Linked DNA regions of Struthio camelus. The protein of the gene in region 1 binds, or shares a complex with, the protein of each later gene. Links are inferred from orthologs where the notes say so. Each region holds a gene or a part of one and is shown on either strand. Other genes may lie near its edges. The genes, in order: KIF13B and ADAP1.

Region 1 (15,302 bases):
TAGCACATATCTAAGTCATTTTTCCATATTTATATTCCCTAGCTGTAGAAGCCCAGCAAAGCTGGGTTGACTGAGAATAATTGTTAGGTCACACATGTCCAAGCTACTCTCAATCTCCAGGCTGACTTTTTACTTTACTTGACAAACTGGAAGCTGGAGAATGAAGGAGCCCACACTGCTTCCCATTTCTTTTGATTGCTCAGCTCCTCACAAAAGAGGACTTTTTCTAAGACAATAAAAACTGGAATTCAAGTGGTGTAGATCTTAGCTGAAACCATACTCGTGTGCAAGTCCCAGAGGACTAAGCCTTCGATAAACCACACATTAGCCACATACACTTTTGGCTTTTGCACTAACCTAAGAAACTCAGCAAGTTTCAAACGAGGTGGCAAAAGTCAGTAGAGAGAGCAAAGCCAGGCGCAGCGTACCACTGCGTGCAGAGGTGGACACAGCAGGCTAGCGAAGCGTTGGTATAGTCCCAGTGACAGATAGCAGTTTACATTCCCTCCCTAATAGCAGTCAGGCATCTGGTAATCATAAACTCAGTAGAGCAGATTTTCCGCAACAGCGTTAGGAAACACTAGTGAGGTAAAACTTTGAAGTAGTGCTAAACAGATCTGGGGCAGAGACAATCGGTATATTTGAATCCTGGTGGAAGGCGAGAGAAGTGACAAAAACGTTGGACAATTTCAGCTCTAGAAAACCTCCACCTTTGTCTGTGGGTCAACTGAGGAACCGTCTTCACAGATTAGCTCCAAATAACGACAGCAATGGTGGGAATACCCAGCCCACTCCAGTATGGGTGCTGAATCAAGCACAGAGGCATCAGATGGCATAACAAAAATATCTGGATCTCCATGCAGTGAAACCGGAGGTTTTTTGACAATATCATAAAAAGTCACTACACCTCTAATGTTACTATATTTCAGAACCAAACAAAACGATACGAGTTGATGGCCTGTACACAGCAGTTTGAAAACAATCTTTAAATGAAAGATAAGCTCATCTACAATTTATTAAACTGTTAGTCAGGACCACGGCATCATAACAGCCTCTAGACCAGCAGCCAGAGTAAGTGAAATGTTTGTTGTAATATTTTTAAACACGTTCCTCTTTATACGCTCTACTTTTTCACATTGTATAAGACGAATTAAGAGAAAACTTTTCTCATTTCATCCAGAGCCTTTATTTCCATGTAATTTTTTCCCCTCGGGTTTCAGTTTAAGCTCTTCTTTCTGATGGCTGACCGTTTTCCAGCCCTTTCAAAAACTACTTGAGCACAAATTCCACTGAAATAAAGATGTGAACCCGGCGATATCACACAGCTCAAACAAAATTTGTGATGAATTTCTCCTGAACCCGCTACCAGGTTAGGGCAGCTGCACTGACACCTAAGGTACCCTCGGAGACAGGACATTAGCTTAGATGGACCGTCAGTGAGAACCAGTACGGCTGTTCTCACAGTTTCACAAAAGCTAATGGAGGTGTAATAAATAAATAAATAAAGTGGGAAAGGTTTAAAGGGGATATAACAAGCTCATAAGTCAAAATTGGCCAAAAACACAAGAACTCAAAATGATATCTTGTAAAGACTGAGATGACAGAAATTTTATATTTAAAATTGCCAGTAGTGGTTTGGTTTTTTTTTTTTTTTTGGGGGGGGGGGGGGGGGGGGAAGATTAATACTCCCTTGAAGGTTAGAACCAGAACGCTGTGGTGCTATCTACCGCATGGCAGCCTCGAAGTTGCATGGAAAAAGAAAGTACAGTCGGTTTCTTGTACCTTTCTCAGTTTGAAGAAGCAAGTAGCAGGAACACTCAGAAATGTTTAAACTCTATTTCAAAAATATTTAAAAGCTTATTTATCACACACAGATTAAAGGAACACCAACTAAAAAAAAAAGGCTTATTTCTGTTTTTTGTTTTTGTTTTGTTTTTTAATAAAAAAAGCTGGAAGCAAGTTCAAATACCACATGTCCTCAGGTCTCCCAGCCAATGTTTGTTGCTTTAAAGTGACTTTTCTCTTTGCCCTTTGCTATAGGGAAGCCAATACAAACAAGGGAAAAACTAACTGACTGCACAAGAGCAAGCGAAACTAACCTACACCTAACTGGCAGTGCTAAGAAGTAAAGCTTAAAGGGAAAAAATACAGTGTGAGCAATAGCACTTTCAGGGCATTAATTTAAAGCCACAGTAGCTTAAAAATTCTGGACAAAAATACAATAATTTGACTTCTCCCTTTGTCTACCAACATGAAATTTAAGTAGACATCCCTCAAGCTTCCCTGCTACACATAAACTGTGCAAATATCATTCATGAAATTTTCAGTTTGCAGCAATTAAAGATCATCAAACATGCATGAGTGCATCTGGAAAGGCACACAAAACTATCTAATCTGAATGACGAAGTATAAATCAACTCAGCCTCATGAGCACATCGAACACAGGCAAGCTCTCCTCAATTGTTAACACTACATAGTCCAATATGTAAAAAGTTTATTCTATCTTCTCCCGTTTCATTTAACGTGAGAGCTTGGCCGAATGGCTTTAGTAAAGGCGTTCTCTGCCTCTGGACATTAACCCTACCGACAGTCATCGCTGCTGCCGCTGCCTGCGTGGCTCATTTTACAAAGACTTGTAAATGAATCAATCTAGTAACTTTCTGACGCAGCAGAGAGCTCTGAAGAAGTTCAACGTGCAAGTCCTCCGTGCTGCTGCTTTGTTTCAAGCTTCAAAGTTAACAGGAATGAAACGCGATAAAGTTTGCTCTGCCACTAACAAACCAAAAGCCAAGGCAGAACTATTCGCCGAGAGCGTATCTGATCTTTTTGTTGAATTCAGGAAGATCAAGCAAATGTGAAACCAGAGCAGCAAGGTAATCTCACACACTGCACTTAAGGCTAGCTCTAAAGATGCAATCAGCACAATTGTTTGCTTTTGTGGCCTCCACACTTGACAGAATGGTAGTCTCAGGCTCGCTGGCAGTAAGCAGTAAGCTTGTAACACCTTAGGAGTTCTTAAAATACAATTGCATCACTGAGGAATGCAAGATAAAACACTAACTTTACATGCCTTACCCATTTGTCACTATATCTCTAGGTATGAACCACTGTTTATACTGCAAGGACTATGTTATATGTTATCAAGAGGAAATATTAAATACTATATTTAGCACTCGTTTATCACAAGGAGCCTAGTGAAAAAATTCTTGCATTCTGCATGTTGTCATCGGGATATAACAGGTGCCATTTCATTTACTGTAATACCACCATTAGTCTTATAAGACTACGTGCACAAACTCCAATTTACAGATAATTCGTTTCCGCTGTAATCTTCAACGCAAAAAAAAAAAAAAAAAAAAAGCAAGAACCACCACCCTTCCCACCCCGCCAAAAACCAAAAACATTTCAAGGGAGCGGGAATGCAACCTCCCCCAAAGAGTAGGACAGAAGATTAGTGCCTAACACAGTGGTCAATCAGTACCGAAGTAAATGCCTTCCTTATGAGCACCTTGTGACAGAATTTTTATCATCCAAGCACAGAAGAATCCTTTTTGGAGCACACAAACGAGTCTGGATGAATATCCAAATTAACGCAGCAGAAATCTGAACGTACATTTACAGGCAACCTAGCTGTTTAAACTGGAAGTCACATGTCCGTAACGCCACAATCCTATGACCAGTTTAATCTGGCAGCGCTGCCACAGCGCAGGCTGCGGCCCCGGAGCAGCACACCCACAGCTCCGCTCCCCACCTCCCCGGCATACCGCCGCTGCCGCCCTCCCGGCCCAGCCTTGCGCCAGCACCACGGCCACTATTATTCCTCAATAAATCCGTTCAAAGCACGAAACGAACTAACTACACGCTTCTTGCGGTTAGTTTTCCGCCTTTCTTGTTCAAACAGAAAGGCGCTGGTGAGAGGCAGTAGCTGAAACCGGCTGAAAGTGTCAGACCGTACCCTTGAGCGTAAGTCTTTTCCTTTTTTTAGTACCACTAAAAATGTTATACTCTAAGTAATGCTCCACTGAATTGATTCAACCGCATAGACAAACACACGGACTTAAACACACTATACTCATGGGCTGCCTCTACATCAACATCACCTGCAACCAAAAATTCAATAAGACAAATCTCAATTAAAAAGCTACAAGCTGGCTTTTGCTTTGCTTCACAGTGACATAAGAACTCTGCTCAGCAGTTGTGTAACGTAAAATAAATATCTGCTAAATGAAACCAAGCACTGACGACATTTGTAAAAGGAAATCCACAGCAACTCTAAAACACAATAGCAAAAGAAGTTACTGATTGCTATCAAAAACCCATGTGAAAAAGCTGTGCATCTGGAAATATTTTCAGCAAATGTTGTATTGCAACTAAAGCAAGAAAAGAGAAGACCCTTAAAAGTCTTATTTAATAGACCAATGCTGAATTATTTACTTCATAATAGCTCGCTAATCAAGATCCCAGTCTTCTAAGTGCAAAGTATACAAAAAACAAGTTACGACTGCTACCCAGAAGTGCTTATAACTTTAGACCTGATGCTGCAGGTGCAATGACACAGAAACTGTTTTACAAAAGCATGGTTTCCATACAGTTTGCAAGTCTGGGGCCTAGTTTCAAATAAAATGCAATAAATAACTGAGGTGGAACTATGAGTGTTTCCTCTCACTATTAAAAATTAGTACTATACGCTTACCTTACAGATTGCCTCTTCGAACGACACTGAAGCAGGGCCCTCTATACTATCGCCTTCAAATGTGAATACTATAAATAACCAACTATTTGATACAGAAATCCTTTCAACATGCATGCAAAGAACCTATTATACTTTTATGAGCTGTATAAATTAGCAATAGCTAAACATACCACTTTTATTAAGCTAATAAACCCTTGCCTTAAGAAATTCATAATTCAAACACTAAAGACAACCACCACTACCACAGGCAAACACTAAGAATATTTTAAAGGTTAAATCTCTACAGTTGTGGCCATCTGACAGGTTTGCAATTTTAAGCCCTTCGGTGCGGAAGAAAGGAAAGAACATTACTCATGACCCTGAAGAAAACAAATACTTGCTTCAGGTCCAAAGACCCAGATTTTCATATAATGTTATTTAAAAACAAAGTGCTTATTACAGAGCTTCTAAGAAAGCCACCTCTTGCCTCAAAGCCTACTAAAAATGCAAAGCCACAGAAGTTTCACAACTGGATAATTCTTAAGAAAATCATCTACGCAAATTCTTAAATATAATATTAATTCAGTAATTCAGCATTATATTGCTGCTTGTTACTGTAAATTCTAGGAGCATCGGAAATATTGTACTGAGATACCAGCTGTTTAGAACTGGCCAAAATATGTGGATTGTGACAAATAGCCTGCTTAAAAAATTCAATTACAAGGCTACATTTGAGGGAATGAAAAAGACTTTGACCTTTCAGGCCGGACTTGCTTGGACTTGGGTATTACTCACAAAATACCAGGATGCTTAATGGTTACTAAACGGATCTTACAGAGAGGAGGTATGCCCTGACTGCCAAGCTATGCGCGGGGAGCACAGGGCTTCGAGTCCCTCTTCTCTCTGACGTACAGCAAGCGCTGAAACTCAAACATCCCTCGCTCTTGGATGAGCCTACTAATGACCAGGCTACAGATGTTCTCCACATTTTTAAGTTTATACAGAATAAAGCAGCTCCAATAACAAGATACCCACTCCCATTCCCCCAGGTTTGTACAGCTCATTGTCAGGGCTTTCCCCTAGCAGAAGTCTCAAATGGCTACCCTGCCCTAAATCTAATCTTGCGTGTTTTTACCCACTCGCCCCTTACTTCTATTGCTTCTTCCTCACAGATACTTTCTACTGACCTCAGCCCCTACCTGAAAACAAGCTGAAGACCAGCGCACGGACATAAACTAGGGGCTGAGCTTACGCAGAATAGCAACCAAGAGGGACAGGTTCATTACTCACTCTGGGACGTTCAAAACTTGACCGGACAAGACCCAGTGCAACCTAATCTAACTTGATCTGCTCTGAGCAGCAGGATGGACAAGAGACCTCCACAGGTCCCTTCCGACCCGAATTATTGTACAGGTCCGTAATCCCGGGAGTGAAGAGCCCAGCGATGTCAGGATGGTGTCTGGGTCACAGCCAAGGGAACGAGCTCTGACAAAAAGAGGGACACGAGCAGGAGGAAAGCCCACGACTGCCACTGAAACAAGACGCCACCTTTCAGGGCCTCTTCATCCCAGCTACCACGGAGTCCTCCTCACTGTAACGCTCGTTCTCCTCTCACCAGTTCTCCACGAGGAGGACGTCGGTCCTCCCTCAGGTTGAGGGCTGCTGCCCGAAGTCTGACAAAAACGCAGATCTGAACCTGGGTCAAAATGCCCTCGATTACCCTAACCCACTAGGCTATAAGGACATCAACTCTGCCTCTTCTATTTTTGGGTATGGGACTCGACACCTCTCGTGAACTTAGCCTCACATTCCTCTGCTTTTCATTTCAGAACATCTGGAAATGCCTTATTTAACAAGCTTAAACTTTTTTTTTTCTTATTTATTGAAAAGAAGTTAAAGACTTCTTTTGTTTCATATCACGTAGAAAATAACAGGGGTTGTTTCCTTCCTCCCTTTTGGTTCAGCGATTAAACTGCCTTCGCTTTATCCCCTCTCCCCAAAAGGAATTATTGGCATACCTCTGTGGGAAAGGGGGGGGGGGAGAACTACATATTTCTTGGATTTTTGCCTTCTTCTTCACCTCCCCGTTCCCTGGCAATACTTCCCTTTTCATACTCGTTTCCTCGTAATCTAGAGCAAGTTTTTTCCTAATTCAGAAAAGGAATAACCATTAAAACAGATGCTCAGACCACGGTACGGATTAACGTAACCCTGAGGCAAGTTTCGCTGAGGGCGGGGAGGGAGGGGGGAAAAAAAAAAACCCAAACACACACAATTTCTCTTGTCAATTCATGCATCCTCTTCCATGTTTTCTTGGTTTTGTCCTTATAAAACCTCCGCCAACTACGTCCCGCTCGCGCACGGAGCGGTCGGAAGAGGGGTTACAGCGCGCAGGGCTGAGGAAAAAAAAAAAAGACACAGAAAAGGACGGATTTACCCCCCCCCCCAAAAAAAAAAAAAAAAAGAAAAAACAAACGGAGAGACAGAGCAGGAAGAAGGAAGAGCTCAACCTTGTGAGGAGGAGGGAGCAGGGGCACAGCCCGGCTGTAAAGCAGGTGCAAGAGGTGCGGAGCGAGGTGAAAATAGACAGAGAGATAAAGAGAGAAGAAGAGGCATCAGCGGGGGGCGAGCTGAGGGGCTGGCGGTGCGCTGTGAGGAGCGGGGACGGGCGGCGCAGCCCAAGGGGTGTGAGGGGAGGGGGGGGGCCGCCCAGCCTCACCCGCAAACACACCTATCAATACATAGGTACACACACACAAACACCTCTACACGACACCTACAGACACGGGGCGGGCGGACACAGCGCTGCCCCCCAGGGACGCGCGCCCCAGGAGCCTCCCTCCCCGCTCGCCCCTCCGGCCCCCTCCCCTCCCCCACCCCGAGACCCGCCACCCGCTCGCTCGCGCGCGCGGTGGGGGAAGGGGGGGGGAACCAGTCGCGCGGGCGCGCGCGCGGCGCTCACCTCGCCTGTTCATGGGGCGGACGCGCACCGCCACCTTCACTTTGGAGTCCCCCATCGCCTCGCTCCTGCCCCGGGCTCGCTCGTCCCTCCTCGGCTTCCGTCTACGGAGGGGGACAGCCGGCAGCGCGGGGAGGAGCGCGCGCGCGGGGAGGAGGGTGTATGTTGGGGGGGGGGGGAGGGTGTGAAACCAAGGGGGCGGTGGGAGGGAGGCAACCGTGCGTGACCGACGTCCGGCGGGACTACAACCCCCAGCGTGCAGCGCGGCGCCTCGCCCCTCCCGCAGCGGGGGGGAGGTGGTGCGGCGCGCTGCATGCCGGGAGTTGTAGTCCTGCCCCCTCGGCTCCGGGGGGGAAGCATTGCATGCTGGGATATGTAGTTCCCTAAGAAAGGGGTTTTTTTTTTGGGGGGGGGTGGGGGTGGGGAGTGAGCCCCAAAATGCTGTTTTGTGGGTTGTGGTGTACAGCCGGGAGCGGACACTCAGGCTCAGGGTGGCCTGTGAGTCACTTCACGCCGTGGGGTAACCCACGTCGCAGCTCAGGCCCCGGCCTGCCGTCTCGGGGTGAATAAGCCCGTATTTCGTTCTGAGCGGAGAGCGGTATCTGGACAGCTTTTCACGCCGCTCTCAGGGTTAAGCTCGTTTCTCCTGCCTGTTTTCCCTCCCCTGTCCACCTGCAGCACCCCCGCTGCGAGCGCCTGAGCGAAACAATGACGTCTGTCACCGCATCACTTCCCCTGTAGCAAAAGAGGAAAAATCAAAAGTAAGGTTTTTTTCCACCATCTCTTTTGAGCGCTGGGAGGAGTTCAGACAAAGATGGGACTATTTAAGTCTACGCCGTAATGTTTGACCTGGAAGCCAGCGATGCTTATTTAATAACTTCATACGAAGGCTAGGCAAGTTCTCCATGATAAAGAGCTGCTCTGCGATTTCCGTCCGATTATAATCACGTTACATGTCACGTTACAGATGACGAGCCATAACCCAACGCGCAGCGCGAGGTCTCACCGGCGCCGGGGTCTGACTTGGCGGAGCAATCATCATCTCCCTTATTCTGTCAAGGCACAGCAATCGTGTCGTTAACCGGTCCCTTGCACGTCGCTTAGCGGAGCCAGTTCGTTAAAAGAGCTCAACAGCGATAATCAGAGATGAGGCGAACAGTATTAGAGCTTCTCCACGTTAGGCGGCTCAACAGTTCAACCCCGTCTGCTGCTCGCGAGGACCAAGAGCGAAACCATAACCCAAAGATGCAAAAAGCTCATTTAAACAGTCACGGCTGACTAACCTTGTGGTTGCTATTTGAGTTCAAAACAAGGATTCTCTCCGCGCCGTTTCGAAAGGCCAAATTTCAGCAAGGGCAGAAAATAAACGTCCAGAACCATAATCCTGCAGCCCTTCAGTGTCAAAAACTGTCACAGGGCTTTGTCCCTGAGTGGCAGAAAGAAAAAAAGAGGGGGAAAAAAGAAAGAAAGAAAGAAAGAAAAAACCCACATTTCCAAATGGTTTTAAGGTAAGATTTTGGTAGGTAGCATTTTTTGCCCAGAGGGACTGGACTCAACATACGATGTGTCATTTCACACCTGGCTGACCTGAAGAATATCTTGTCAAGGTAGAGAGAATACAAACAAAAAGCCTGCATTTAACTGACACTAAGCTTAACGCCCACGTTCTTAAGAAGAGAGCCACAGCATCCCAAATGAACCCTGGGGTGAGAAGTCATCCTGGAGGTTGGAGGAAAAAAGAAAAGAAAAAAATGCAGCGGGTCAGGCCAAGCAGGGTGGCAGAAGCCCCAAAATGAGACTGGATAGTTTGTACACACTGGCGGAAAGCACCGAATCCTCGGCGTGCCGGGTGCGCGCTGCAGCCTTGCAGCTTTGTGCCGCGGGAATCGTACGGCTTCTTACTCCGAGGCGGACAAGCGGGACGTCCCGCTCTCAGCCTGCACAGTTGGCTCTTGCACTTGTGAGCTTGCAGATCCAATTACAGGATGAAACCAGGCTTTGAACTTCTTGTGGTATTTTCCAGCTGGGGCCTCAGCAAACCACACCAGCATTTTCTGAAACTTGGTTCCTTGCTGCTGAGATATATATAAACCCCACTTTACAGCTGAGGACAGTGAGCAGCAAGTGGAGGTAGTTTTACGTGGGGTTGAGTCAACTGGAATCTGATTTAAATAAAAGAAAAGCACACTTGCCGGATGTGCGTGCTGCTGCTCATAGCAGGTGTGACCCAAATGCAGTCCTTCCTAGGCATCCTTCTCCTCTGCTATCCGTTATATGTAAAATTAAACAGTAAGTTCTTTGGAAAAGGATTGTGTTCCGGCTTTTTTCTTTGTTAGACAAAGGTTCCAGCGTATTTTAAGTACATGCACAATGGTAAGCGCAAGTGTTTACTTTTTACAAGCTTTGCCTCAACTTTCTACTTGGAACGAAGCGTTGAGTTTAAAAAATTGGAAAAATCTCCCTTTCAACCTCAGTTCAGTTTTAATTGCCACAGAGAAGCTTCAAAGTCCCCCATCTTTTATTTAATCGCTGCTATTTTCTGCAAATTCAGGTCTCGAAAAACTATCCCCAACCTGGACGTCCTTTCCGGTCTCATCCGTGCGCAGGAGTGATAATTCCTCCCAGCTATGGGCCGTGATGCCTGGGGACATTTCCTTTACGCAGCCACCCTCTCCTGCGATGAATTACAGTAATGCAACTTGTCTCGCGCTGGCACAAGCTACCCCGGCGTAATTACGCGCCGCGGCGAATTCCTCGACCTCGACCAGGCCTTTCCCGAGCTGTGGGAAGCATCTCCCCGGAGGGGCACAGCTCGGAGGGCGGATATTGTTTCCATTCACAGCCTTGGGACATGCTAATTATGCTGGGAGGAAAGGGGGGAATGGCAATATTCACATAGGAGGGACAGGCTGGGCAAATAGTTTACGAAACGCCAATCTTAACCCCGCGGTCTTGTAGGGAATTGTCCAGAGCTCTTTTCCCCCTTCCTAGTTACTGTAATGAGGGGCTGACTTCCCAGATTAGCTCTGGCTATTTAAATGCTAATTTAATTAACAAAACATCCTTGGAGGGGAAGGCATTACTTGTCCCTCCCATTCATTTATCCAGTTCCTGAATGCAACACTGTTTTAATCAGGTTGAGGAGCCGCAGTTATGGCTATACCCACCTGGACATAACAGGGACTGAAGCTGCGACGTAGAGAAGAGAAATTCAAGGTCCTTGATCTCATTTTTTTATAAGCAAGTAGGTAAAGACGGATCATTGAGAAGCAACCAAGTCATAAAGACGTTGTGTGTCCCGCATCGCTGGTGTGCATGGGGTACACCTATCAGCAGGCGGAGATGGAGGAACTTGGCTTTCATTTCTCTTTAGGCAAAGGTATGACTGAGTTACATCTCACATCACCTAGACGTAATTATATCTCATGGCAGCCTTTGGGATGTCTCTCCTTCCAAACTGCAGCGAGTGATAAATCAAGCCTATTTTAAACCCATTTCTTCATTTGTGGGAAGTGCACATCAAAAGAGACGCATCAATTATGAATATGCTGTAGACCTAGTTTCTACCCATAAATCATTCAGGCGTTGGAAAACTAAAACAGAGCATCTTATCAGTGTTGAGTTGTATGGAAACTCTTAAGTATCGCAGGGGTCCATTTTTGGGAGAAGCTGGGCACCACTGGCATAGTCCCTGTCCACAGCAGGAGGCATCCAGAGCACCCAGCAGCCCTGCAGCTCCTTCGCGTTGTCACGGAGCAGGTCCTCGGCACAAAAGTCCATGGAGAGACATGCAAAAACTGAGATTTGTTTTTGTACATTTTTCCTAGTTTTTTTTTTTTTGTCCTTCTTCTGGGAGAACACTGGTAATTATGTCAATGCTGAGTTTGATCCTAATATGCTAATTTGTCTTCAGGTTTATCTTGCTTTTCCATCTGGAGCTATGAATATATAAATGTAGTATAACTCTTGTAGGCAGTTAAAGGCAAACAAAGAAGACGAGTTTGTCATAAGTTTCTTTCAGCTATAATCCAGAAAGAAGGCACCAAGGGAAATCAGTATTAAGAACCGATCAAAGAGTCTGGACATAAAAGAAAATAATTTTCTCCAAACCGCTTGTGTCAAAATCCTGTTTACCATCAACACTTCTGTTTTTTTAAAGGGATTGCTAGACATCTCTCAAGCCACACAATTTGTCCAGTTTTGTGGGTTCATGTGGACTCACATTGGCACAGCACTTTTTGTGTTCCTTTTATTAGGAACTTTGTGAAATCAAAGAGCTGATAGTTTCATAGTTCAGAATTTCACTGGTCCTGGGACAGACTTTTGTAAAGGCGTTTGAGCCTGTGGCCCCCTGCCCTCACTGTGAAGCGTGTGCACAAATAAATGGATTCCTGAAGTCCTGTTGCAGTACTAGTTTATAACACGGGGTAAAGGTGGAAACAAATTTTGTAGATGATCATGCTCCCCCCCCCCTTTTTTTTCATAAATTACTCCAAAGTTCAAAGTCCTGGCCATAAATTTCATGGGGTTGTAGGACATAACACCAGCCTGTATTACCCGGAGGGAAATCCCAAATCGATAGCCCTGATGGCAGAAAAATCCCTGCAATCTGCCCTGTTTATGGCAGCGAGATTTCCCGCAGCCACTTCGCCTGGGATGCAGTGGGATTTCCATACAAACTCATGCTCCTGAAGGCAATCCAGAGCCCTGTAATATTAGTGATTTATGTGCTTGTAAGATGAAGCTGCAGATGTTTCTGCTGCCCCTGCGTTGCCTTTTGTCCAAGCAGTTCTTTTGTTAACTAAAGATTCAACGTTGGGTTTCATTTATTTGAAAAGAAAATAGATTTTCTGTCTTTAGAGAAAACGAGAATCTCTAGAGAACTGGAGACATACAAAATTATCAGGAGAATGTGTTTAGCGAATGCCAGACAAGCTCGCAGCCCCAGAAAGGGGAAAAAAAACGCAGTGCAAAGACATTGGCTGAGACTCCAAAAAGTGGATATTTTCGAGTTGTGTAACACTTGTAGCTTTTATCTCCCAGCACTTTTGAGATAAGATACATGATCTGCGAGGACTGAACTGCCTTGCCTGCAAAAAGATTGCAATATCTCATAGCTTCAGTTGCTGAATCATGGTGCTGTTGCTGCACATCTGCAGAGAAGAGGAGCCCTGCAGGAGCCAGATTTCTGTTGTTCCCCCTGTCCACACTTTTTTCCTTCTCTACTTCCCCTCCCTCCAGGACTGGGACAGATTCAAAGCTGGTCCCGTTGACCCAGACGCCCCTGGACACCAGAGGAGCTCCTAATCCAAACCCAGACCTAAATCCCCAGCTGCATTTACACAGCTAAACGGTTTTATATGTTTTGCCGGTGTATAGCAAATAACGCTGTGGGCTAAAAAGCCAGCTCCAGATTCCCCTAGTTTTAATGAGCTGATGATTTGATGCTGAAACTTGGGGAAAAATATGATCAATGGGGATGTTGCTTTCACCGCCAGGAGCTGCAGAACTTACTGATAAAGTGGGTTTTTTCACAGCAGCCAAAAATCCTTCCTGACTCTCTAGACAAGAGTGACACCCGGCGGCTAAGGAGCAAAGGAGAAGCAGGTCTAATTGTCGTGTTCCCCTTTCCTGTCCTGCTTAACTGATTTTTTTCCTGCTGCTCCCATGGCAGGAGCAGGGGATAGGGAAGCGCTGGCCTCTCCTTGCTGCGTGAGCCCCCGTCCCCTCGCTGCCCTCCCTTCCCAGGGCCGGCGCGGTTGGGGTGGGGGCAGCGGGGAGAGCAAAGGGTTAAAAACAGGGGGGCTCCTTTCACCTTGCACCCACTAAGTATTATCACATATTATCACACGCTGAAGAAATACCATTTTTTACTGCAATGGGCATAAAACTAATAATTACCTTTAATTAATTGGTTGGTGACAGTCATTGCAAATGAGTTAACTGCTGCAAGTTAAGTGTTTTAAAAAAAAAATAGGTAGAAATCTCGTGTAGTGTACACATGCGCAGTGCAGTATTGCACTGATATTGAATAATGATCCCAAATGATCCCCAAAATGATCCCCCAAAGACACAATACTGGCATTAATATTGATGCACATACGGTCTCTTTATGTGTTATCTTAATTCTGAGCCTGTGTTTCAAGGCTTTCCCCCACGATCGGAAGGGCTAAAATTTTACTTTATTTGGACTTCATTTTGGACTTGTTAAAAATGAAAATGGAAAAGCCCAGGTAATTACATGCCTTGCTGAGCTGAGGCTTTAATAAAATGTCAAGTGTGGGCAACGTACTGCTAAAAGCTGATTTCGTGGGCCTCTTCGGAGAATGTGCCCATCTAACCAGCAGTCTGGCTCCTAAATTACAAGTCCCTGCGGCATTTCCCAGGTGGTCCAACCCAGACATTACATGTTGCCTAAGGTACCTATTGATATGCCACTGTGTTATATAAAGGGAACTCAGCTTGGCTGAAATAGGGTAAATTTTTTCTGGTGTTCAGGTCTGACTCCAGAATGAAAAAGTCGCCCAGGTTTTGTAGAGTCTGAATCTGGAATTTGGGACTGCCTGCCCATGGCTTTTGCTTTTTGATCTATCCCTTCTCCCCCTCCATCGTCTTTTCCCCTTCATTGAATGTTGTTGGTGGTGAAGATGTTACAAAAAATGAGATTTCAGAATCATCCTCTCGGAAATACATAGCCCTGAAGTCATGCAGAAATCCCAGCTGGGACTTGGCACACAACCTTGGTCCTTCGACTGTTTCTCTTTCCTTTCCCTGTGAAGCTGGGATAAGAAAAAGCCAAATAAAGGCATTAAAATATAAAGCATCAGAAAGAATCAACCAGTTAGCAATCAAGCAGTTAATCAAGCAAGTCCTAAGGCTGATACAGACTTTTCATGACTCTCATATGTCAAACGACCCTCCTGGAGCACAAGATCTAGCTGGAAGTTCAGCTGGCTTTACCTTAGGGTTGAAGCTTGTGAAGATGTGAAGTCACATCTGTGCTGCGAAACCACCAGTGCCATGGAAATGCAGCTCCTAAGAGGTTGTTTTACAAGTCTGGAAACGAAAGATTTTTTTTTTAGCCTTGTACCAGTCTTTCCGTTTGTGTTCCCTTTTCTCCCTCTGGACGTCATTATTATTCCTACGCGTTTCCAGCGCTTTCTGGATTTTGTTGCCCTCTGCCTTGGTGACAACAAATGGGAAAGCATTCCCTGGGCATAGCACAGCGGTGTTTCCTTTGGTCTTCATGAAAAACATCAGCCTTTGGGACTCCCACAGAAACGATGTGCCCGAGGCTTTGCTTGATACAGCCAGCCTTCGCTGCCTGAAACAGCAGAAGAATTCTCATGGCACGTTAAGCCTTTTCGCACTGCTCCAAGTGGTCAGTCACTGGGAGGCCACGGTAAAATAACTCAAATGTCACCATTAAAAAAGAAACAAGAGAAAGTCCTCTTATTAAGCAAGTGAAATCTGCGGGATCTTTTCTCACTGCTTTCTGTGGAAGCTCTTCTACTTTTAGCTTTACACATCCCTTTCTCAACCAGTTCCTGAGCGTTCTCCTGGGCGAGAAGCGCCCCGTACTCACCGTCCCCTGCATGAGTCGTCTGAGTTCACAAGCAATGTTATACACATGCCTGAGGGCAATATTTGGTCTCTACCAAGTACCTACAG
Region 2 (14,233 bases), on another chromosome or scaffold:
GGGAGTAGAGGGGAATATTAAACAGAGCGCGCTGTCACGAGCGCAGAGAGTCACTTATCCTCAGGCACCGTCGCTCCAGAACGACTCAGGCCGGTTCTAGAGTGCCTTTGCTGCAGAACGCGGTAGAGACTTCTGTTCGCTTACGCACAGATTACAATGACTTTCAAAATAAAAACCTGACGTAATTTCATTTACAACTAAGTACCAAAGCTAAACTAGACTCAGAAGGAGGACATTGGGGTTATATTTTTACATCCTGCTCATCTGAAAAGGAAGGCACAGCTAGAGATTACAGAAGCAGCCAAACCAAAACTGAAACACTTGGGCAACAGAGTTGAATTCAGAAATTAAGTTCCCCAACCAGCCCCTTTTGCTACCACAGGCCCAAGAACAACCCAGCGCACAGAACAAACTCTGCAGCTTGAGCCTAGCATTAGTAAACATAAGAACAGCCAGCGGAAAGAAGAAACAAAGGCTAGAACCAGAAAGTAATAAACAAAAAGAACCTACATAAGATTTAGGACAATTTATACAAAGCAAAAGGTGAGCAGAGAAAACCTGGAGGTGGGATGGCAGTGGAATACAGTTCTTTACAATGACTCTTTCCTCCATCCAGAATAGAAACTCAGGGATATAAACTTTCCGTCCCTAAAGCCCTAAATGCCATTAGCCTGAGTTAAACATACAAAGCAGACCTACAGCAGACTCACAAAGTACCCGCAAGACAAGAACAAGAACTCAAACGCAGAGTCACCACAGTTACCCATATGCCCCCTCCACCTATTCCCTTCTCAAACCACAGTTATTGCTGCAGGCCTGGCCAAGACAAGTATCCAAGAGCATGGAGTGAATGCGCAGCAACATCCCGTGAACGCATCCACCAGCAAGTACCGCTGTCTCCCCCTGCCCAGGTGACAGCCGTAACGATAAAGAATTATTGGAGGGGAAAGGAGGAACTGTCTAGGCAGGCAAAACCTCTTTTGCCCTGTACTAGGAAGGTAATGTATGTCCTACATGCATGTAAACATGGGATTTTTTGTAGAATCAACATTATAAATCAACAGCAGCTGAACAGCAAGCAGAAAAGGCTAAGGCTTTACTTAATATCACAGGCAGGAGAACTTCACGTCCACCACTAAACTTCTGTTGCTATTTATTCCAGGGGAAAGATTAGGAGGTTAATGAACAGGCCCCGGTCATGCATGTTCAAACATAACAATAAAAGACATTAAAACTAAAGCCAAACAGACTCCCATCAACACTTCACTAAGTAGGAAAATTTCTCAGAGGAGGCACTAAACATGCCAAAGTCTTCTTATTCAGCTGTCAGCTCTCAGCAGCCCCCTCTGCTTGCTGTCCGCAAACCACAACAGCACTACAAGCCTAGGAATTAGGAAAGGACATATTGTCGGTTAAAGCACTATTAGAAAGCATAGTCACATGAAGCATGTTTTGTTTCAAAGAGCCTTCTTCTCTGCAGAACGTGGAATCGAGGGAAACAACTATGATGGGAATTTTTCTCCTCGCTCTGTGTACGCCAAGGGAAAAAGAGTTGGCAAACTCCAGGGAAGAAAAAGAACTATTTAAGTTAGAGGACAATGGAGGTGCGGGAACAAGTTTCCAAATTTAGCTTGAGAATGAGAAGACCGTTTCACGCCATTAGAGCAGCAAAGCTCTGGAACAGCTTTCCAGTAGGAGGTAGTGGGGGCAAAAGAGAGAATGAGTTACAAGACAGAGCGCCATCGCTTCTTGGAGGGGATTAGAAGATGTCATCGCATACGACAGCAAGAGATACGACCTGATGACTCAAGCAGTTCCTTTGCAAATCTGTGTTTTCAGGACTGGTGATTAGATAGGGGATGGAGAGGTTTAAGATCAAATCCTTTCAATGTCCTCCTTAATCCAAAGCAGATCAAGCAATGCCCTGCACACATGTATTTTCCTCTAATCACCACCTCTATTGCATAAACTCAGCGGAATGAAATAGCTTTGCCTACTTGAAAAATAAGAAGATGCTGGGCCTGCAGGAAAGGTGTTGGGAACAAACTCAGCTGTACACCTCCTCACAGGCTTTTATATACACTACTACACCCAAAGGCCAAATACACCCAGCTTTGCAATACAAGGGCGCTCTGATACAAGGTGCCCCTCCACCTCTCGCCTTCTGCCCCTCTGTCCGTGAGGTACAGATGCGATGGGAGATGGAGGAAGAACAGAGAAGTCAGTGTTGAACCACTCTCCTTTGAGGGCCTGCGTCCCAGTAATCTGAACAAATAAGAAAGGTGAAAGCAATATAAACAAGCCACTGAAAACTGCTGCTGGAGGGTCTAAACCACAGGATCGCTTTGACAGGATTTCCACTTCTGTCTTCAGAGCCTCACTCTTGTCCTACAACGTAAAATGATTCTCACTCAGTGGAAACACTACCCTAAGTCATAGAAAAATGGAGTAGAGAGAGAAATACGTAAGGTCTTGTTATCCCCTGAGATAACCATCCATCTCAGGATGTGAGGAAAAATTGCCTAAGACAAAGAATCATTAAAAAGAAAGAAAGAAAGAAAAAAAACGCAACTGCCACATTAGTCTTGAAGAAAAAAGGTTATTCTAATACGTCAAGAGCCATTACACACTAGCAATTCAGAGATATTGCTCAGTTTGCACTTAGGACTGCATTTAACATGCTGTCTTCCTCGGTGAAAGCGCATCTTTAAACCCACCAAAACAAACACATTGCAAACCAGGATCCAAGACCCAGACTCCAGCACAGAAATATGTAATGACAGAGTGCCAGGTGCCTCAAATAACTTTATTATAGTGGCTTCTACCTCATAATTCAGTCTCAAAGCTATAGCTAATGCAGTCTCATTATTCAGATGGATAGTGTTTTTGCAGCTAATTTCTTCTAAAATTCAAAATAGCCTTTTGTTGCAAAATAAAGTTTTGTAAAGATTCAATTAATAAAAATTAACTAAAACTTTTTAAAAAACAACAAACCCTGCAAATGAGAAATTCATCCTCTTAGATCTTCTTCCACTCTGATTTTCAGTCTCTACTTCTCCGTCCTTCTACATTCCCAGCTGCCACAGCCAGGGCCACTGTAAGCCTGTTTGCTATACCTGAGATATGCCCTCAAAATCTCACTTGCAAGGATTTTTGGAAGCCTCACTCTTGCAGCTGAGATTTTCCTGCCAGGCATACACGCTGGTCCTGGGGAACACACAGTGCATAGACCTGGTCCTCCTGAGCATCAGATTTGACATCATGTTCCATGCAGATACAAGTGTAAATATTCTGTGGACAAACCAAGGCAATGGAAATCTCAAATACGGCAGTCTTGGTCGTGGAACTTGTAGCCCTTAATTAGGATTATTTAAGCAGCAGGTTCTGGTCCAGTCCAGACAATAAGCAAGTTTTACCTAGATCTCACCGAGGAGCCAGCTATGAGATGTCTTCCACGATCCTGTGGGACACAAAGTTACCCACATAGTCTAAGGGAAAAGCACTCACTCTCCTGCTGCTCCCTCTCCATCTTGGGGTTTGCATTTTTGCACAGTCACCGCTCAGTCACAGTGATGCTGAGCTGCAGGCTCTTTTGCAGCAGGAACCCACATTTTTGTTACATGACCATGTAATAATGGGGACAAGTCATTCCTCGAGGGCTATGGCTATTGAGCCCCATCAAAATGCCAAAACAGGAACAAAACAAACCCAGTCTGACAGCATAAGAGAAGAGAGAAAATTCTTCCCATAAGAGAAAAACTGTCCACTGACTGGCTGATTTTTGAAACAAAAATTTCCAAGAGCAAAAGAAAAACCAGCTGGTTTCCAAATACACAGAATTGAAGAGACTGACTACTAGAGCAATTTTGTATTTATATTTTGGACCCATTCTATTCTTTGTTGTCAGTATCGCTTGGCTAAATGGCTACCTCTTATCATGGGTCCTGAATTAGCTCTGGGATTTCAAGGAAAGGATCACATCCATTTTAGAAGTAGTAATAAATCAAGGATCCTGACCCCAGCTGCACCAGACCAGCAATGTGATGGCACATGAAACGTGGGAAAGGACAAGAACTACCATCTTTCCCATCCTCCGTTCATCCCCCCCCACGCTCTTCTTTCATTCTCACTTTATTTTCTCTGCTTCGGTACTTTTCCTGCTTTCAGCTGTCCACCCAGCTCCAGCTCTCACTTTTAACTTTCTGTGCATCCCGATCCTTTGCTAAGGACATATTTATATCCCAGTTTGGAGCTCTTGGGACACCAGTTATCACGGGGCTGAAGTTCCCATGACTGTGCCTGTCCATTCGGCTGCTGCAAGCCAAAGGAAGTAGTCCCGAGATCCCTCATCTATACGGGCATAAAGATGTTCGCAGATGGGAGAGATCCCAGCTAAGGGACACACTGCTATTCCCACCCCTTTATTCTGCGCACACCCTTGGAGTGGCTGCAAGAATCGCTGTTCTCGTTTACACCAGGATGAATACCTGAATTCAGAAGGGATATTTCATGCTTACGCTGCAGGTACAAGGTATGGGTCTGTTATTCCCTGGGTTACTTGATACCCAGCTGAAAACGTAGCTGGGGGTGGCATTTCAAGTCTATTGTCACTCCCAGGCACAGGAGCACATGACAGCACCATGAGTAGCATCTGTCAAAGAAAGCGAAGCAAAGTGATCACTAAAGAAATGCCATTTAACAACAGAACTCCAGTGCCAGGGGAAGAGCCCTGTGACAGTTCAAAAGAGAGGCTGGATGGTATTAATACAGCAGATCTTGTGTTACAAAAGACATTGGGCCAAATTCTCCTCTCCAAGTTTCAAATTTACTGAAGACATCTCTGCATGCAAGCATCACCAAAAGCAAAATACGGCTTTGTTGTTTTACAAGCCCATTTGGCATCTTTAAACCACAACCTTTCCTCAGTATGAGCTATTTCACTGACCTACAGCTTCATCTCGACCCTGCTGATGCTGAGAAACTTCAAAGTTTGCAGAGGGGCTTTACACCACACATAGCGCAAGAAAGAATTATCCCACTGATCTGAAGGGCTTCGGCTTGTAAAGTCTCCTCCAAGAAGGAGCAATTTAAGGAGACACCTATTCAGCAAGCCCAGGCTGCGTTCGGCAAGGTAAGTCAGAGGTGGGTTGGCGCAGTTACGCAGCAGCCGCCGCCGCCAGCACAGGAGTGGAAGCAGGCAGGGCCGCACAGCACTGCAAAGCCGTTCACACTGTGCAGAAAGTGCTTTGTCCTCCCTAGCCAGATACCAGGGGACACAAGGCGTCTGAAGATCAACAGCATTTTCCCCAAAACACAGATCAGGCTTATAAACCCTTCGTGATGGCACAAGCTGGATGACAGTATCCCATAGATACTGAAATCGCAAAGAAATCCACACCACACACAGAAATATAAGGTTCTGCTGAAGTCGTTTTTTCGTTTTGCTTTGTTTTTTAAACCTACAGAACGAGATGGAAAAGGACATCCCTTCTCTGCATCTCTTTTAGAGCCACCCTGCTCAAGCTAATACAAATTTTTAGTGTCTTCTGTATGGTGATTTAAAAAAAAAAAAAAAAGAGTTACTTGCTATGCAAATCTGTAAGATTTTTCTCAAAGGTAAGTCCCGTAACACCATGCAGATCTAAGCATCACTTTGCTCCACAAGACTTAGGCTTTCCCATGATCACACCTGCACCCCAACAATTCACCCAAGCAAAGGACAAGGCAAACGTGCCGTGTTCAGATTTTTTCTCCCTGCAGCCTCTGTGCCCAAGCAGGTCTATGGACATTTTAGCACGGTCATCTCCACCGCATTAAAAAGCGAGTAAAGTCTGCATAAATCTATGGCACATTGGTCAACGGTTGACAGGCAGGAAGCAGCATGGCAAAGCTTTTGGTTCCCTAAATCTGTTTGCTCACTGGTACGGCAGGAGCAGCTACAAAAGCCACGCTCTGTTTGCAAGGCAACAATAATGAAAAGCATAAGCGGGAACCACGCGCCCACCCTCGCTGAGCTCCGACCGCCCTGCTCCCTGCCTGCCAAGCACCCACCAGCCGCCCGCTCCTCGCCTGGAAACCCTCGCAAGCTAATTAAATGTCAGTGTCACCCATGTGGAGGGCTCGGTCTGCACTGCAGATCGCAGGCACGGAGACCTGCTGGAGTAGCCTGGGATGACATCAGCATTGCCACAGCTGGGAGTGGAGCTGGGCTGCGGGGGCTGTGGGGATACCCTTCCCCCTGCCTTGGCTGGGGCTAGGCCTGGGTGCCCTGATGTCGCACCCTCCCCACTGCATCCCCCTTCCCTGCATCCCACCCCGCTGCATCCCTCCCCACTGCACTCCCTTCCTTGCATCCCACCCCGCTGCATCCCACCCCACTGCATCACTCCCCATTTCACCCTCTTCCTTGCATCCCACCCCACTGCATCCTCCCCACTGCACCCCACACCGCTGCATCGCTCCCCATTTCACCCTCTTCCTTGCATCCCACCCCACTGCATCCTCCCCACTGCACCCCCTTCCTTGCATCCCACCCCACTGCATCCTCCCCACTGCACCCCCTTCCTTGCATCCCACCCCGCTGCATCCCCCCCATTGCATCCCACCTCGCTGCATCCCCCCCATTGCATCCCACCCCGCTGCTTCCCCTTCCTTGCATCCCACCCCACTGCTTCCCCTTCCTTGCATCCCACCCCACTGCTTCCCCTTCCTTGCATCCCACCCCACTGCTTCCCCTTCCTTGCATCCCACCCCACTGCTTCCCCTTCCTTGCATCCCACCCCACTGCTTCCCCTTCCTTGCATCCCACCCCACTGCATCCTCCCCATTGCACCTCCTTCCCTGCATCTCGCCCTGCTGCATCCCCCCCATTGCATCCCACCCCACTGCTTCCCCTTCCTTGCATCCCACCTCGCTGCATCCTCCCCATTGCACCTCCTTCCCTGCATCTCGCCCTGCTGCATCGCTCCCCATTGCATCCCCTTCCTTTCATTTCACTCCGTCGCATCCCTCCCCACTGCACCCCCTTCCCTGCACCCCGGCCCAGTGCATCCCCCTGGGCCGGGCTCCCCGAGTCCCGCTCCGGCCCCAGCTCAGGGCCGCCCCTCGGCTCCCGCCCGGCCAAGGCAGCGCAGCCTCCCCTCGCGCTCCCGGGGCCGCCGCCGCCGCCCGAGCGCGGCCCCCCCCCGCCCGCCGCGGTCCCCTCCGCGCCGGCCGACACGGCCCCCCCCCGCCCGCGGGACGCCGCCGCCTCGGGCGAGGCGAGGCGAGGCGCCCGGCCGGGCGGGCGGAGGGCAGGGCCGGGCCGGCAGGTGCAGGTGCCGGTGCCGCCGCCCGCGGAGCTCCTCGCCCTTACCCGGCGCGGCGCAGTCGGCGCACGCCGCGTTGCCCGGCCGCTGGAGCAGCTCCGCCAGCGCCTTCCTGCTCCTCTCCTTCGCCATGGAGGCGGCGAGAGCAGGCAGCGCTCGGCTCAGCTCCCCGCGTCCTCGCTCGGCTCCGCCGCGGCTAAATGAGCTTCATGGCGCGGGGCGGGGGGCGCTGGCGAGGCTGCTCCATGCGGCCCCCGGCTCGCCCCGCGCAAGGTGAACGCCTCCGGCGGGCCACGCCGCCGCCGAGCGGGGACGCGCCGGGGCGGTTTCTCCCGAGGGCGCCTCCTCGCCCCGCCGGAGCTGCCCGCCCGGCTGGGCGCCGCGCCGGTTCCGCCTTCCGCCGGGCCGGGCCGGGCAGGGCCGAGCCCCGGCAGCTGGCGGCTCCCCGCGACCTCCGGCGGCCGCTCAGCGCCGCCCCCCAGGGGCTGCCCGACCCCCCCCCCCCCCGCCCCGGGGCCCCTGACGGGCGCGGCGGCCCCGGGCGCCTGCGCCACCTGCGGCCGCGCCTGCCGGCGAGGGGCGCTGCGGGCCGCGGGGCGGGAGCCGCCCTCTGGCAGCGGGGCGGCCCGGGGGGGTGGGCGAGCGGCGTTTTGGGGCTGCTCTGAGGCGTTGTCGCCCTTGGCGGGGGGACTCGGGAGCGCTGAGCGTTAGCCACGTACTTCTGCCAAGCGCCCCTCCTTCCCCCGCGTCCCTGCAGGGGCGAGCGGCCACCCGCTCCGTCCCCAGCCCTCGGCGGTGCTTTCCCTCCAAGCGTCCGCCAGCGCTTTCCGCGCGGTGCTGTGTCAGGGAAGACGGCGGCGCTCAGGCCAAGCATCCGCCAGCGCTTTCCGCGCGGTGCCGTGTCAGGGAAGACGGCGGCGCTCAGGCCAAGCGTCCCCCAGCGCTTTCAGTGCGGTGCCACGCCAGGGAAAATGGCGGCGCTCAGGCCAAGCGTCCCCCAGCGCTTTCAGTGCGGTGCCACGCCAGGGAAAATGGCGGCGCTCAGGCCAAGCGTCCCCCAGCGCTTTCAGTGCGGTGCCACGCCAGGGAAAATGGCGGCGCTCAGGCCAAGCGTCCCCCAGTGCTTTCAGTGCGGTGCCACGTCAGGGAAAATGGTGGCGCTCAGGCCAAGCGTCCGCCAGCGCTTTCAGTGCGGTGCCACGTCAGGGAAGATGGCGGCGCTCAGGCCAAGCGTCCGCCAGCGCTTTCAGTGCGGTGCCACGTCAGGGAAGATGGCGGCGCTCAGGCCAAGCGTCCGCCAGCGTTTTCAGTGCGGTGCCACGTCAGGGAAGATGGCGGCGCTCAGGCCAAGTGTCCCCCAGCGCTTTCAGTGCAGTGCCACGCCAGGGAAAATGGCGGCGCTCAGGCCAAGCGTCCCCCAGCGTTTTCAGTGCGGTGCCACGTCAGGGAAGATGGCGGCGCTCAGGCCAAGTGTCCCCCAGCGCTTTCAGTGCGGTGCCACGCCAGGGAAAATGGCGGCGCTCAGGCCAAGCGTCCGCCAGCGCTTTCGGTGCGGTGCCACGTCAGGGAAGATGGCGGCGCTCAGGCCAAGCGTCCGCCAGCGCTTTCGGTGCGGTGCCGTGTCAGGGAAGATGGCGGCGCTGAGGCCGGCCAGGGCCTGGCCCGGCTCCCCCATCCTTGGCTGGAGGCGAGGGCTGCGGCCATCTCGCTGCCCGCCATTGCGCGCGGGGAAATGCTGCCGTCCCCGTGTCATCAGCTAAGGGCTGGCGAGACGGAGGCGGTGGGGCGGTGTGGGAAGCCACGGGCAGAGCAGGAGGTCGGGGCTGTGCCTCGCAGGCTGTTGCCCTCACCCCGGTGAAGCCTTCCTCTCCAGGACGGGTCGCGGATATCCACGACGCCACTATGACCGAGTTATTTGTGCCTCATCGATGGTTACAGAACTGATTTTGGTTTTGTGACACGAGTCCTCCGTTCATATCGTCCATCTCTGTTTCCTCAGCCAAAACAACACCCTTCTGCAGCGCTTTGCTCGTGCTGTTAACGCTCCTCATAAGGCTCAAGGCTTGCACCAGCGTTGGCAGGAGGGGGAGCCAAGTATTTCCTTCCACAACCAAATCCCAATCCTGATCCTGCAAACATAACACAGGTGTGAGCGGTGCCTCAGCTTCCAGGGAACACTTTGTGCAAAGAAAATAATCTTTACATGGATGCAAAATCATGGCCTGATATGATTGAAATACTCCTCTCATCTGGAAGACATTTTCCTAAGTGACCTTGCCATTTATACTGTCAGACAATTGATTTTAACTGAATTAATTTCTGATTGTTTTAAGCTGACGTTAGACTGTTCCTTGCGGAAGTGCTGTGCAGCGTTATGCAGTGTTCGGGGTTTTGTGTTTTTCTGTTTTTCCACATGTGGGCTGATGGCATCTGGAAACTTGTTCCCGTGCTAACCAAAGGCTGAATGCTGGAGCCCCTGCTCCCACACGCAGTCCTGTTGTTGTGAATTGCGGCCACAGCATCCAGGTCCTCGGCTTGGGCCCCAGACAGGTGACTTTACCTTCTTAAATCTCCAGATCGTTACTACTAACCTGGGGCAAAGCTGCTGACTTCAAACTCCTACTGAGGGAGGACTAAGACCCAAGCACGTGAGTAAAACTGGCTCCAGCACAGAATGTTAGCTCTAATCTTCCAAAAACATGTCATATTCAAGCTTGAGGAACTGCTCATCAGTGTAAATGCTTACAGAATCGGAGCTTTACCTAAGTCCAAGTTAGGAGGCTGGGTTTTCATTTGCCCTTCAGTCACACCACAGCCCCGGTTCCCTTGGCACCTGCGTGTGCACTTGCCAAATTTGTCGTGCAATAGCTGGGATACTGCAAGTCATTATGAACTTCCTGGGGGCAGAGGGCTGGGAGGAGGGAGGGAGGGAGATTGGCTTTAAAGTCTCTGTTTTGCTTTCCATTAAGTCTTATTGATTCTCTTAATTTTTTGTTCTCCTGGTTGCTAGGCAATCCCTCTCTCCTCTCTGCATGCTGGAAACCAGGGCTGCAGACAGAAATTTATATCTTGTAATAAAATCAAATCTAACGGAGCCTGTTGTCAATGATGAGAAGGGGGTGTTTCATAAAGGACAGGCTGAGCAGGCGCGGTGGAGAACAGAGGCCAGAAAGGATCAATCAACAGCAATCCTCATCATTTAAGTCCCATCACAATTACAGAGTTCCCCACAACACCAATATGACAGCGTACATCCTTCTCCAAACTTCAAATCAGGAAACAAACAACACATGTGAGTAGAGGGGACATGGAGCGAGGGAGAAAAGTTGGAACAGGACCGAATCAGCCAGAATTGAAAACAAGTTTTTGTTTAGTGGAAAACCAAAGGCTTGATTCAGTCTTATGAATACAACAAGGGTATCACTGTAGATTCACCCCTGGTTTATCCAAGCTTAACTGGACGGGTAGTAACAGTTATTCCTGATCGGTGTCAATCAGCATAATGTTGATCCAGGACATGCAGTGAGACTCTCCAAATCGACACTGGCTCCTCAGGATTTCAGTTCCCGATTGCCATTTGTGCAAGGAAGGGCAGGGGCAGCTTCAGAATTGACTATCGGGTGTCGTGGAGAGGGGGAAGGTGGACCTGAGAGGGCTCGCAGAGGCTGCTGAAAGGCTGGAGAGAGGTGGGAGTCTCTGCTCAGGCTTGTCCACGTGAGGCTGTACCTGTAGGATCCAGCACCAGGGAAGTCACTATGAGCTTTTCACCATGTTTTCGAGCAGTCTGTGGGTATGATCTCTTAGGGAGCGTTCTGTGAATTTGCTCCTATTTCTCCTAAGGTCTCTGGCCAAGCCAGATTGGCTTTTTGCTCCGAGACCAGACTGTCTGTCAATGCATTGTCCTTGTTCAGATGGGTTCTGACTCTCCACTGCTGAGTGACTCTCTTAGTCTGAAATAATTCTTTTTACGTATGTATATAAATATGTATATATGCATATATAAAATATGTTTGTATGTAAACACGCATGCATGCTTTTAACTCTGTCTTTTCTAAATCGCAAGGTTGTTGTCTTAGAAATGGACATTATTAATGCGATCTCCCAAAGTGCTAAGCACAGCGGCAGCCAAGACTGACTGATACCTTTGGAAATGCTGGCCTGTGAGGTCAGGGCGAAGAATGTTTAAAACTTCCTGGAAATCTTTTCATCAGCTTTGTGATGACACCATGAAACTTCTCCTTGCCCCTCCATCTTACCTATTTTCACCCTGGAACTCTTTTGTTATGAAAGAGCCATTTCCACTGTTACTTAGTTACTTTTGCAGCCCCAATCCTGAAATGGCTAAATGAGTGTCACAGTCACACAAGTAAAAGGGTATTAAACTCAACCGTTTAGGTGACCCTGGAGTGCATTCACAGTGTAACATGGGGAAATATTACAAATTCCTGTGTGCATGGCAAACCCTAACAGAAATATCGAGAATTCATGCCCCTGTAACTGCATACAAGCAAAACTCTCCAGAGGAGGAGATGTACCAGACTGGATCCCTTATGCTTCCTCCGTGCTATAGGGAAGGCAGCTCTTACAGCAGGAGATTTGCGTGAAAAGCCATAGCACTGACCACCTGCAGCCATGTTAATGCAGCTAGTTTCAGTGGTTTTCTGTTCAACAGAAAGAAAAAGAAACTGAAGTCACAGAGGCTGTTCTTTAAAAAAATCATATTTGTTGGGTTGTCCAGTTAAATCTAGACACTGACTACAGCTGGGAAAGAGGAATGCCAAGGAGCAGAGAGGGCTCAGAGCAGGGCAGTCATAAATGCCTGAACTGAAAATCAGGCATTGACACCAACTTTCTCTATGAGCATACAGCAGCAACCCTGTGTGAAGCACACTTCACACACCTGCCTGCGTGGTTATCATGTGTTGAGTGCCATCAAATTGAAGAGAACAACGCAAAGGAAAATGATGCAAGGGTGCCAAAATAACACACTTAAGTTCTGTGCTCGCAGAGCTGCTCTGCACCTGCACCAGACCCCAAAGAGGAAAAGGTGGTGTGCAGCTCTAAAAGTGCATTGCTGTGCAGTAGTAATTTGCAGATCAGGGTATCACTGCATTTGCATATTGGCTAACTCTGCTCCTAAGCCCAGTGTCAGGTGTATTGAAAAAGAATTTGGTACTCCCATCATTTAATAGTTTCGCACAACAGATCACAGAATTCTTCTTCACAGCAGAAGAAACAGGGAGAGCGAGAACAGGAAGGAGGGGCAGAGCACAATCTCTCTGCTGATTTACTTTGCCACTATTTTTCAGTCTGCTGTGACCACTGCTGATCACAAACCCGATTATTTGCTTCTGTCCTCCCTCTGTTGTGACGTCCTGGGGCTGAGGCCTGCTCTCTCTCAACCACATCGCCAGGAAAAGGAAAGTAGCCCCAGCCACTTTTTAGAGTCCGTCTGTCATGTGCTCAACAGGGCCTTTCTGTTTCTACTCCCAGCCTGAGGGTGCTCTTCCCACTGCCTGTGCTCTGGCCAGTCTCACTGCAGAAATCAAGGGATTTGGGAATCGGTGCAGGGGAGGGCAATCTCTTCTTTACAGTCACACGGGCTGCTTAGTCACTCTGGCAGGGTAGTTGGAAGACCAGAGACATCCTAGGGAGTTCCTCAGCCAGGTAATTGATAGCCTCAGGATGTTGGATATTTGTATTTGTCTGCTTCACAGCACACAGGGAAATCTCAGCACAAGAAAAGACTCCCTGGGACAATCCTGTTACTGTTGTACTGAACCCATTTCATATGCTGTAAAATATGACATAGAAGGGCAGCTGGGGGAACTGGTGCGACTCCACAGCAGCTCCCATCAACACGGCTGGCACTCTGTTGATTTACACTGCCAGAAAATCCCCTCCTAATAATGGGCTCTTTTCTGCTCTCAGGAAAAAAGATGATGAAATTAGACAAATGAATAATTCAATCAATAATTCACCTACACCAGTGTTACACCACTGCTTTTAGCATTATTCCTGATTTATACTAATGAAAAGAGTCAGGCCTGGGAAAGCTCCGTATGGAGAAAACCAACACACGTGTGAAAAGATCCATATGTCAGAGGGTATCAGCTCATCCAAGAAAAGTCAGAGTGATTATTCAGAGCTGGCCATCATCAATTCAATCTGAGTCAGAGACGGCACCAGGACAGGTTCAACGTGCAAACCGCAGGGCAAGCACTTATCAGGGAAATTGCTTTTGCTCAATTCCAATAATGTAATCTCTTCCTGTTCAAATGCCTCATCCTTCCAGGAACAGCTCAAAGACATTCAAGCAGGGGACTGCACCGCGTGATGTCTCATTGCAGGGCAGGGACCGACCTAGAGCAAGCAAGCCAACTACTGTGCATTCAGGAGGACTTAGGAGTCAGTGGCTGCACCAGCCAGGGACCCAGAGCAAAGAGGATGACAGAGGAGGCTATTGGGATAGAGAGAAAGGAGCTGAAGCCCAACCGATCACTGCTGGTCTGGAAATCTCTGCAGAGCAGCTCAAGTTCCTCAGAACGAAGATGGGCCGTTTTAAAAGGCCACAGAGGAAAAGCGAAAACTTGCTGCAACTGTAGGGCCCATCAATTAGTCTTGTATCACAGACTGCTGCCCTCAGCTGCCTGTCCAGACCAGACATTTGAGACCACATCGCTTTCTGTAACATTGCTCAGCTGTGATTTGAATAAAGCATTAGGCGGAACCGAAGCTGTGTTTTTTCTCTAGGAAGAGATTAGAAATGATGGCCTGAAGAAAGCTGCCAAACAGCTAGAAAGGTCAATTCAGCCTTCCCCCAATTCATTTTGTCCACAGAAAGTCGAGGACCATGCCTTACCCTTCCTCTGGCTGCTGATGGGGTTGTTGGGAGGTCACTGCAGGCCTCATAAGAGCTCCCACAA

What was found.
Region 2: the proteins of KIF13B (region 1) and ADAP1 are in contact, whole or in part, in a crystal structure (PDB 3MDB), measured with the Homo sapiens proteins. The link is inferred for Struthio camelus from reciprocal best matches to the Homo sapiens genes KIF13B and ADAP1. Residues at the interface, in NP_056069.2 of Homo sapiens: Val451, Asn452, Leu453, Asn454, Ala455, Asp456, Pro457, Leu463, Arg512, Phe514, Asn516, Gly517, Arg531, Leu533, Asn536, Asn537, Phe539; in NP_006860.2 of Homo sapiens: Trp137, Asn143, Gly144, Gln145, Phe146, Leu147, Pro186, Ala187, Lys188, Ile189, Gly190, His191, Pro192, His193, Tyr211, Glu213.

The regions. Positions count from the first base shown.
Region 1 is NC_090944.1:9,918,803-9,934,104, forward strand, and holds the start of KIF13B (kinesin-like protein KIF13B), read right to left. Parts: upstream 7,791-15,302; 5' UTR 7,690-7,790; coding exon 7,635-7,689; intron 1-7,634. UniProt on the Homo sapiens protein: Involved in reorganization of the cortical cytoskeleton. Regulates axon formation by promoting the formation of extra axons. May be functionally important for the intracellular trafficking of MAGUKs and associated protein complexes.
Region 2 is NC_090956.1:7,377,918-7,392,150, reverse strand, and holds the start of ADAP1 (arf-GAP with dual PH domain-containing protein 1), read right to left. Parts: upstream 7,673-14,233; 5' UTR 7,440-7,672; coding exon 7,355-7,439; intron 1-7,354. UniProt on the Homo sapiens protein: GTPase-activating protein for the ADP ribosylation factor family. Binds phosphatidylinositol 3,4,5-trisphosphate (PtdInsP3) and inositol 1,3,4,5-tetrakisphosphate (InsP4). Regulates the incorporation of CD63 and CD9 into multivesicular bodies.